2 linked regions of the Tribolium castaneum genome follow. The protein of the gene in region 2 purifies or fractionates together with the protein of the main gene of each other region. This does not show direct contact. Links are inferred from orthologs where the notes say so. Each region holds a gene or a part of one and is shown on either strand. Other genes may lie near its edges.

Region 1 (4,379 bases), on a different chromosome or scaffold from region 2:
GTCTCTTGAACATTCCTCGTGCAATTTATATGTATGTGTTTCCCGCAAAGTGTAAACGTCACGCACTACCAACAAAGACACTGAAAAGACTTCATAAATGTCAGTCTTACAACCTTTCGTTGAGATAAACACGGATTATGTCAAACGATCTGAACAATCCAGGTCTGAAAGATCTGTTTGTAGGTCAGGGAAGCTGTAACTTTCAGTCCACGGCTAGACTTTACCGTTTTATTCTCAAATTTTGTCTTACACGAAGCGATGCCATCTGGTTTATTGGCAGCGGCGATAAATCAGCTCGGTCTGTGCAGAAAATCGCTCGAATTTGACAAATTTCTTGTGGGTGATGTTGTGGGCGATTGTTACACGAAACGTTTTATTACCCCAGACTGTCAAAAAAAATTGCCGATTAATTTACGAGCACTTATTTACCTATATTTCTCAAGTTTTCAAAGAAGGCAAAAGCAAACGCAAACAGATAAGAAAGTTAAATGAACCAAACGTTTCCGACGTTGTTTTAAGGCACCTCATCAAATATGCAAGTACAACATTTATTCAGACTGACAACAAACGCAATTTTTCGTAAACATAACATTGTTGGAGTGAAATTTTTCCCGAGAGGCAGGTTTCACAGGCGGTGACGATTAATTGAAATTCGTAGCTGCACTGCTCGAATTTCTTTAGAAAGTGCCACTTCAAACTGCTTAATTAGGTTTATTGACGTGCTGATGCGTTCTGGGTGGAAATTTGTATTTTCAGATAATACTCGTAATATTATTATTATTATTTATTAGACAAGGTGAAAAAATTAACACAAAGAAAATAACAAAAATTATGACAGTGAACATAAAAATTCGTCAACGGAATAAAATCCGTTGTCATGAAGCAGTTTTAAAAATTCTTTTTTAAACATCTTGCGTTCTTTAGTATGTTTCCATTTGTATACTGACCTCACATTATAATATTTCCAATTTTTGTAATAATAATATCAGTATTTATGATTTTAAAGTGTACCAATAAACAAAATAACGTAAAGTATACCTGGATAACTGGTCTTTAAAACACTTGCACTATTTCGAGCACTCCGGGTACGCCGTCGTGCTCGAAAAATTGCTCGTGTTTTAAAGACATACTTCAATTTTTTTATATTATTTATATCTTTTGCAATAACTGTTTATACCATTATAATAAAAACAACATTTCAATTTTTCTGGCGAGACAAGATAACGAAAGCTTGATTGAAGATTGAAAGAGCTGAGACCTGAGACATTTTTAAGCGGCATTTAATCGAACTTTGTTCTTTATGCGACATAAACCCAGAAAATTGGCTTTTCGCTCGCTACAACTTCACCCTTTCGAGGCATTTTCCACGTAATTACCCGATGTTTCGTTGACATACATACTTGGGTCTTGTAACTTGTCCTAAATGAAGTTTGCGCATCGGTGTCCTCGGTGCCTGTCTCGCTTTTGACGTCACGAGCTTTATATTAGAGCTTCCTGCACAAATTGGTCACAGTGACCCAACTGTGGGGCCCTTTCTCATGCTAATGACTTTTTACAAATGTACCCCCGCATTGGTGAATCACAGCAGTAATTTCATGCAAACGCAAACGGAGAATAGCAATTTTTCTAAAGCGGAAACTCTTGCTCAATTAACGGAAATGTGCAAAACTGAGTACGAATGAAGTGACCAAACGCTTTGTTTTCATGTGGTATTATTGACCGGTGGGTTTAAGTCAGGGACGTCGCGACGCCGCGGCGTCGGTGACTCAAACCAGGGACTGATTTTCCAGTCCTTAAATAAGCGATTTTCCGGCGTTCATTCTCAAGCATTCCTAAAGTGGACATTTTGACATTACGTTCGAGGGATGAAAGGGTGCAACACACCACCCTGACTTGTATTGATTTTCATCCCTTGATAGTACGCACGCGTAGATTGACTGAGTTTGTTGCCAATTTTACCAAAATATTGTGGACATGTTATTTGATTGATTTTCTTAATCAGATGTTGTCCTTGCTGGACATGGGGGCGTTCCGATAAGTTGGACAAACGTAGCTTTGTTTTGACAATATTGTCAAGAAATGACTTCCTCATATGTTCATCAGCTTGGGAACATTTTTTGTGAATTGTGGGTCGAAAGTGAGTCATTTTACCGACTCCTACGACTCCATTTAGCTTCATTTCAATGCTAAAAGTGACATATTCTCATTTGTCTGGAATATGGAGCATCACGTTTATTTTGATCCAAGTAGCGCGCAGATAACACCGGATGATTCATTTTTTCGACTAAATCAATTGTGGGGAAAATGCGGTGTTATTTCGGAACACCTTGACGGATTCCAACCGCGTTTTCCAGTCTTTAAATAACTCCCTGGTGCAATTAAACCCTTGTCTATTAACCGCGTGTTAACAGTAAAATCCAAAGTAAACATACAGTTATAGGTACTCAAAAATCACCATAAATCATTCGGGTAATACCTTGGTGAAAAAACGCACTTACTGGCATTCGTTCATGATCTCCTCCTGCGTCCGGACCTGGACGGGGGCCAACTTCTCCACCGACTCCTCGTAGTTGCCGAAGCACTTGGTGATTTTTTCATCGAACGTGTTAACGAGGTCCTCAAGCGAGCCCGAGAAAGTTTCGGTGAAGTTGTCGGCCACCGAGGCCGTTTCACCGTTTTTCAAAATCACGTTTTTTGGCGGCAAGGTTTCGGTGTTTGAATTGTTGAGGATGTCCTCATTGAAATCGTTCAGGACGTCGTTGATGTCTTTGATTTTTTTGTTCAGGTTGATGTTGTTCAGTTCGTTCTCGTTTTTTATGGTGGCGTTTTGAAACTCGGTCGAACCCCATTCATCCGATTCCTCGAATTGGGCCAGTGGTGCTTCAAATTTTAGTTCGGCCATTTTTGTGGCCAAATCCCGCATCGCGAAACACCACTCCACACTCACAGCCTGCACAACACTGCGGGAAACCCACGACGCCGCTGTCGAAGCTCGAGCAGAGATGGGCGCGGGTCGTGATACAGTAAAACCACGAGAACTCGAACACATATTTATTGCAAGGGGCTCTAGACGTCGATTGTTTACATTACGTATTACAGTTTGGAAATTAAAATGTGTAAACAACTGAAAATATATTCTGAGCGTTTGTGTGAAAAGAATGTTGTAACTTTATATAAAAAATAATAAACAAAATTCAACTTTTTTTTGAATATTTTTTTTTGTTTTTGTATCCTCAATTATTCTTAGCTTCTCTATAGAAAGAAAATAAAACTTGCAAAAGCTTCGAATAAAACAGCATCCGACAGCTTGGTCGGATGGTAGAGGTTTCACTATATTTTAAGTTGGTTTGTAGGAAATTTTCACTATTTTGCTATTTTTTAAATTCGAACTAATATTGCAAAGGGTCTAGAAAACGATTGTTTGCAATATCGAAACTGAAAAAAACATACAGTTTCAACTTCATATAAGAAATTATAAACAAAAATCAATTTTTTTTAAAAACGTATTTTTTTTTGTAAAATTTCTTAATTATTCTTAGTGTTCCTATAGAAAAAAAAATGATAAGATTTCTAAAAGGTTCGAATAAAACAGCATGGTCGCATTGTAGAGGTTTCACTGTATTTTAAATTGAATCAGAGGGAATTTTCGCTCAATACACTGATAAGGTGTAAGTAAACCGCGACAATAGTTAAAAAAATTGAAATAGTGCGCACTAATCTAATCGAAATCGCCTGACAACAATAAACTCTGAATTATTACATATTTCATTAACAAAAGATAATAAAGTTTCTAGAAAGATTTTTATGCTTTCATTGTTCCCTCTCAGATTATTGACATTTGAAAGTTGGATAATTTCCGATCCGACTAATTTGCTTTTAAATATTCAAATGAAATTATAAGAAAGTTGCAAAAAAAGTGAGTAGTTATTTGGATGATTTGGTCCGAAACCGGGGTTACTGTCTCTTCGTGGTCCCGTTATTAATCTTTTTATAAAATATGCGATTTATGTAACTGTTGTACTCATCTCTATATCAAAGATGCGTGTGATTCCGGTGCGCATCAGTACAGCATCAACACTGGACCAGTTGAGATAAATATTGCTTGCGTCTTAAAACTTGATTTTTTTAAACATTTACTTTATTTTTTCTGACATTGTTTATCAGTGAATTCCTCAAGACAGATATTTGTGGATAAATCGGCCAATGAACCATTATTAGGTGTTATGTTATGCAATTTGCGTTATTGATTCTGTATTATTGGTTGCCTATTTATTTCAATTGAAATAAAAAAAAAAGTTATTGATGCATAAATAACATTTAAAAAATAAAACCACAGACACTTTTTGTTATAAGTTCGTCCTGGAATGTGTATACAAAAG
Region 2 (4,535 bases):
GAAACCCCAACTGACCTTTCCAGAGAACGCTCGTTCAGCGCCGCCCTGATCCACGCACGCCCGCGGCCCGTGTCAGTCCAGATATGTTTCAAAACGGCGTATCTCTCCTGCTCATGCTTCGTTAAATGCGTCCTAACAAACGGCCAAAACGCTTCAAAAAAAAAAAATCAGTTGGCAACACGTACTAACATACGGAGAGCTTAAGAGACGAAACGAGATACAAAAAAACAGTACGGCAGAGTAAAAATAAATTTTTGGACATTTTCGACCAAATTTTGTGATTTTTTCACTTGTATGTCGTTTCACATCCTAGCCAGTCACTTACAAGGGTTCTCGCCCCCTAGATGCAGACTGCTCGCCACTTGCTTCAAAGCGGAGCCTTGGGGGTTTACCCGGATTCCGTGCAGCAAAACGGCCTCGAGCGTCAAGCACAGGGCCACAACACAGCTATCAAACTCAGTCGCTAGTTCGGTTTTTCCCCCATATCGTTTTTGGCACTCTTGCACGCACTCGAGTAACTGTCGTAGGAGTTTATCAGCGGTTTCGGATTTCGGTTGATTTGCGATATTTGGCGAAATTACAGCCGACATGAGCTTCAGGGACTGAAATTTCAAGGTTTTAGGGCAATTTCAAGCAACAAAAACTCACCATAATTATAACCTTGGCCGGTCATGGCATGGGTGAATCTGACTCGAGGTGGCATAACATTGCGATAAGATGGGTTGCAGTGGGGCCCTTATCGCCAGAAACGTGATATCACAGGATTTTCGATTAAAAACACAAAACAGACACTACTGGTACAATCAGCTGATTGGGAAGTGTCAAACTGGGCTAATGTCAGCGAGTTAATTTGGCCAAAATTGGGCTGTTTTGGCTGGAAACGACTGATTTGGGGCGATTTTAGCCGAATTTTGGTTGTTTTAGACGAATTTAAGCAAAATTATGATTCTGGTTATGGGTGACATCATTCGGTCGGGTGCGGTTTCGGTAATCACTCTTGCTAATAATTATTGTCATTTTTATTATATTCACTATTTTAAATTAAACAAGAGGACGAGAAGTTGGTACAAAAAGTTCCACGGGTGTGTTGCGATATAACACTGCCAGGGTAGATTAATAAAAAATTTTGATTTAGGGGTGTTCGAATGGTCCGAAAGTGCTTCGTTCCGAATCATAGGCTGATCTATGAATTTCCGAAATTTGATAATTCACTTAATTGTTACATTGCAGTTGATTGCTATTTGTGATTATGATTAGATTTAATTGTTTATGTTTTTATGCGCCTGTTCTTATTATTTTTTCCTCAGACGTTTTGTCGAAAGTCTTTTAAATAGAAGTGTTAACAATTTTTAATAAAGCAGTTTTTCCCTAACTTTAATAAACGACTATTACTTAACGAGTGGTTAGAAAAGGGGTTTTACAAAAAATTTAAACCACTGTGTGGGGATTGGGGAAGTTCATTTCCTACGGATTGCTTGGCACCACTGCGCTAAGATGGCCGACAGTTCGATGTAGGAGGAGTTGTCATTGTTGCAAAGAACCCGCAATTTTTTATACAAATGTATCATTTATAGTTTTACTTAGTTTGTAATTAATTTATTAATTTGTGCTGTGAGTGATTAAAGTGCTTTACGATGTCGGGCGATCGGGAAATTCCAGCTGAAGACAGTATTAAAGTCGTGTGTAGGTTTCGACCCCTCAATGATTCAGAGGAGAAGGCTGGGTCGAAATTCATCGTGAAATTCCCTTCAGGAGGCGAAGATAATTGTATTTCGATAGCGGTGAGTGGAAAAACGGCCAAAACTCGCATTTTTTATCAGTGGCTTACGTCATTTCGGTTGCGCTCCACCGAGTCCACGCTAATTAGACCCCGTTTCCACCAAAAAAATCATCCCTGAGACATGAAAATCGATTCTTTGCACCGGCCATTGTCTCGAAAAATCGATTTCCGATCGACTCACCCATGCTCTCATTTTACTTTACAACAGTTGGAGAAATTAATTGGTACGGATCGCTACCATGGACCATTAAGACGTAAATTTTAACGATGGTCACAATGGGTGAACATGGTACGGGTCAGCGCATTTATTATTCTTCAAAAAAAAAAGAAAAAAAAACAATTGAAATCTGTCAATTAGAATGTCAAATGTCAAGTTTCCGCAGGAAAAATTGGACTATTGATTTTTATCACTTTATCTCTGCCGGAACGTTTAGCTAATGGAATATTTTATTGTTTAAGTGCTTCATAAAATAATAAAAATCTCGTTTTTTTGTTTAATTAAATCGCCCCCCCCCCTTTATTTGTTGTTTGTTTTGTCTGATAACTAGTTGTCAAATGAATTAAAAAGGCAAATTTTTGGTTTATTTGCTCTATAAATGCGGTTCTCGTGCATTATCCCACTTTTTACGATAACAAAGTTTAATCGGCCAATATTTGTTTTTAGTCACTGTTTTGTCTCAACAATTTTGAAACTAAAAACTAATTTACCAAGTTTGTGAACCTGCATGTCAACGTGACATTTGTCAAAATTTGATTTACTTTATTCATGACATAACTTCATCGATGATCATTTTTATCGTCAACACTCTGTATAGCAAAATTATCTAAATACAACATCAAACAATCAAGTGGTTCTTCTTTTTTTGACGTGAAAAAATTCACGTTTTTAATACTGATTATTATACGTTTTTTATTTCTTGTTGCTTTTGTAGGCTTAATAATAAATTGGTTTTAATTTTTTTATCTCGTTTTTTCTGAAATAAGTTAATAAAAAACTGCAAAAAATAAATGAATGCAACACGGAAATAATAGTATTTTTTTATTCGCGTGTACGTGACAGTTTTGCTGTCAGAATAGAATTGACAGTAATTTGATAAAAGAATCAAATAAGTTCTCTATTTCTTTGTTGCATTATCGTAATTTGTTTTTATTACAATAATCAACGCCTAATTGCCCTATAATCAGGCGAGATTAACACGGAAGCAGAGCAAAAACTGCGAATTCTAGAACACTCTCAGACAACAAAGTCGTCATTTTTGCGTATGTTTTGGCTGAGATTATCTCAGATTGTGTGTTTGTTGGGTAAAGGTTAATTAATTTCGTTAAAAAACATCGGATCGATCAAGGATAAGTCGAGAGAAGGAAATAATCCATGAGGGTGCACACGTTCACACTTTTGTTTCTGCTTGGTTTATTATTCGGATGTGCAAGAAAGCTAGAAATGCGTTCGTTCTGTGGGCGAAGAAAGCGCTAATTCGTTCGGGTGATTAATTTTGCATTGTGTTCGACTTTCCATCGTTTTAAGATTAAAAAAATTAGAGGCGTATTGCTGTAGGATTCGGTCGCGTGTTTGGTGGAAGTAGGTAGTGTTATTTTCACTATTCTATTCACAACCTACGACCAAAAGTAACCAATCGATAGTTCTTACAGAGCGTTGAACCTTTTTCTGTGATGTAATTATCTTCAAAGGGGAGGGGAAATTATTATTTCAATATTTAATAAGATAATGAGAACGTATTTTTGTCAAGCTTTTTACCTAAAGTGATCGATTAATTGTTTTGCCGTTGCTTTCGATTAACGCTGGATTGATTGCTTCGTTTTCGCGTTGTTTTTTTTTAATTTTTCAGACTTTGTTTACATTCTCTCTTTTGCGGAGTGTTCCGTTTTCTTCACAATCAATAATCAGGCTCTGCCCTTGACCGAGCGTTCGTTCTATTTAGGTCCTCTCTTCTGTTTTGCAACATTGTACACAAATCCAGGACGCGTTTTATGAATTATTTAAAAGAAATCAAATTTCAAGCTCTGATAAAAGCAATTACACCGTTGTTTTATAAATAGATGTACGGAACGATCGTATCAAAAAATCAATGTGTTGTAACTTTAAAAAATTATTTAATCTCGTTTTGCAAAGTCACGATTCTGATATTTAAGTTACAATTGCTACTGTCTGTTTTTAATCTTGCATATCTCGAAGTCTCGCCTGGTTAAGTTAATTATAAATGAGATGAATCAGGAAATAACTGTCGGTTTTATTTGTTTATTTTCGTAGAAAATTGGTCGTGACGCGTTAGAAAGTGATGTCAGGTATTAAAATAGTTTGCGATGATTTTCTGATAATAGTTTTTATGTCAATTGATAAAAACCAAGATATTTTACGATTTTTTTGCAGTTCTGGACAAATTTTGAATTTTTTCGAAAAAAAAATTTAACTTTTTAGTTTATGATCATAAGTAAAACACACTAAATGGAAAGTATAAGGTGAGTCACTGTTTTCTCTTATTAAATTTTCTAGATTTTTAGTACCTGTCACATTTATTTATAATTTAATATTCAATGCTAATAAAAAATATCCCTGTATTAAATTAAATATCGGTCAAAAGAAAAAATGCTGTGTTTTTTATTTTTAATTTTTTTAACTACTATTTAACTGAAATACAACGAAAAAAAACAGTGAAACCCGGTATTAAACCTCAATTTTTTTATAGCGACTTTCAGGAAGTCCATTTTTTACACGTTTTGTTACACTTCTTGTAAA

What was found.
Region 1: the proteins of Khc (region 2) and Unc-76 purify together in Drosophila melanogaster (affinity purification with western blotting; 3 studies listed by BioGRID). This does not show direct contact. The link is inferred for Tribolium castaneum from reciprocal best matches to the Drosophila melanogaster genes Khc and Unc-76.

Annotation. Positions count from the first base shown.
Region 1 is NC_087402.1:6,757,700-6,762,078, forward strand, and holds the start of Unc-76 (fasciculation and elongation protein zeta-2), read right to left. Parts: upstream 2,979-4,379; 5' UTR 2,924-2,978; coding exon 2,499-2,923; intron 1-2,498.
Region 2 is NC_087395.1:25,842,254-25,846,788, forward strand, and holds the start of Khc (kinesin heavy chain), read left to right. Parts: upstream 1-1,470; 5' UTR 1,471-1,634; coding exon 1,635-1,781; intron 1,782-4,535. Other genes in the region: sorting nexin-29, read right to left, coding at 16-151, 326-602, 649-651. UniProt on the Drosophila melanogaster protein: Kinesin is a microtubule-associated force-producing protein that may play a role in organelle transport. Milt and Miro form an essential protein complex that links Khc to mitochondria for light chain-independent, anterograde transport of mitochondria.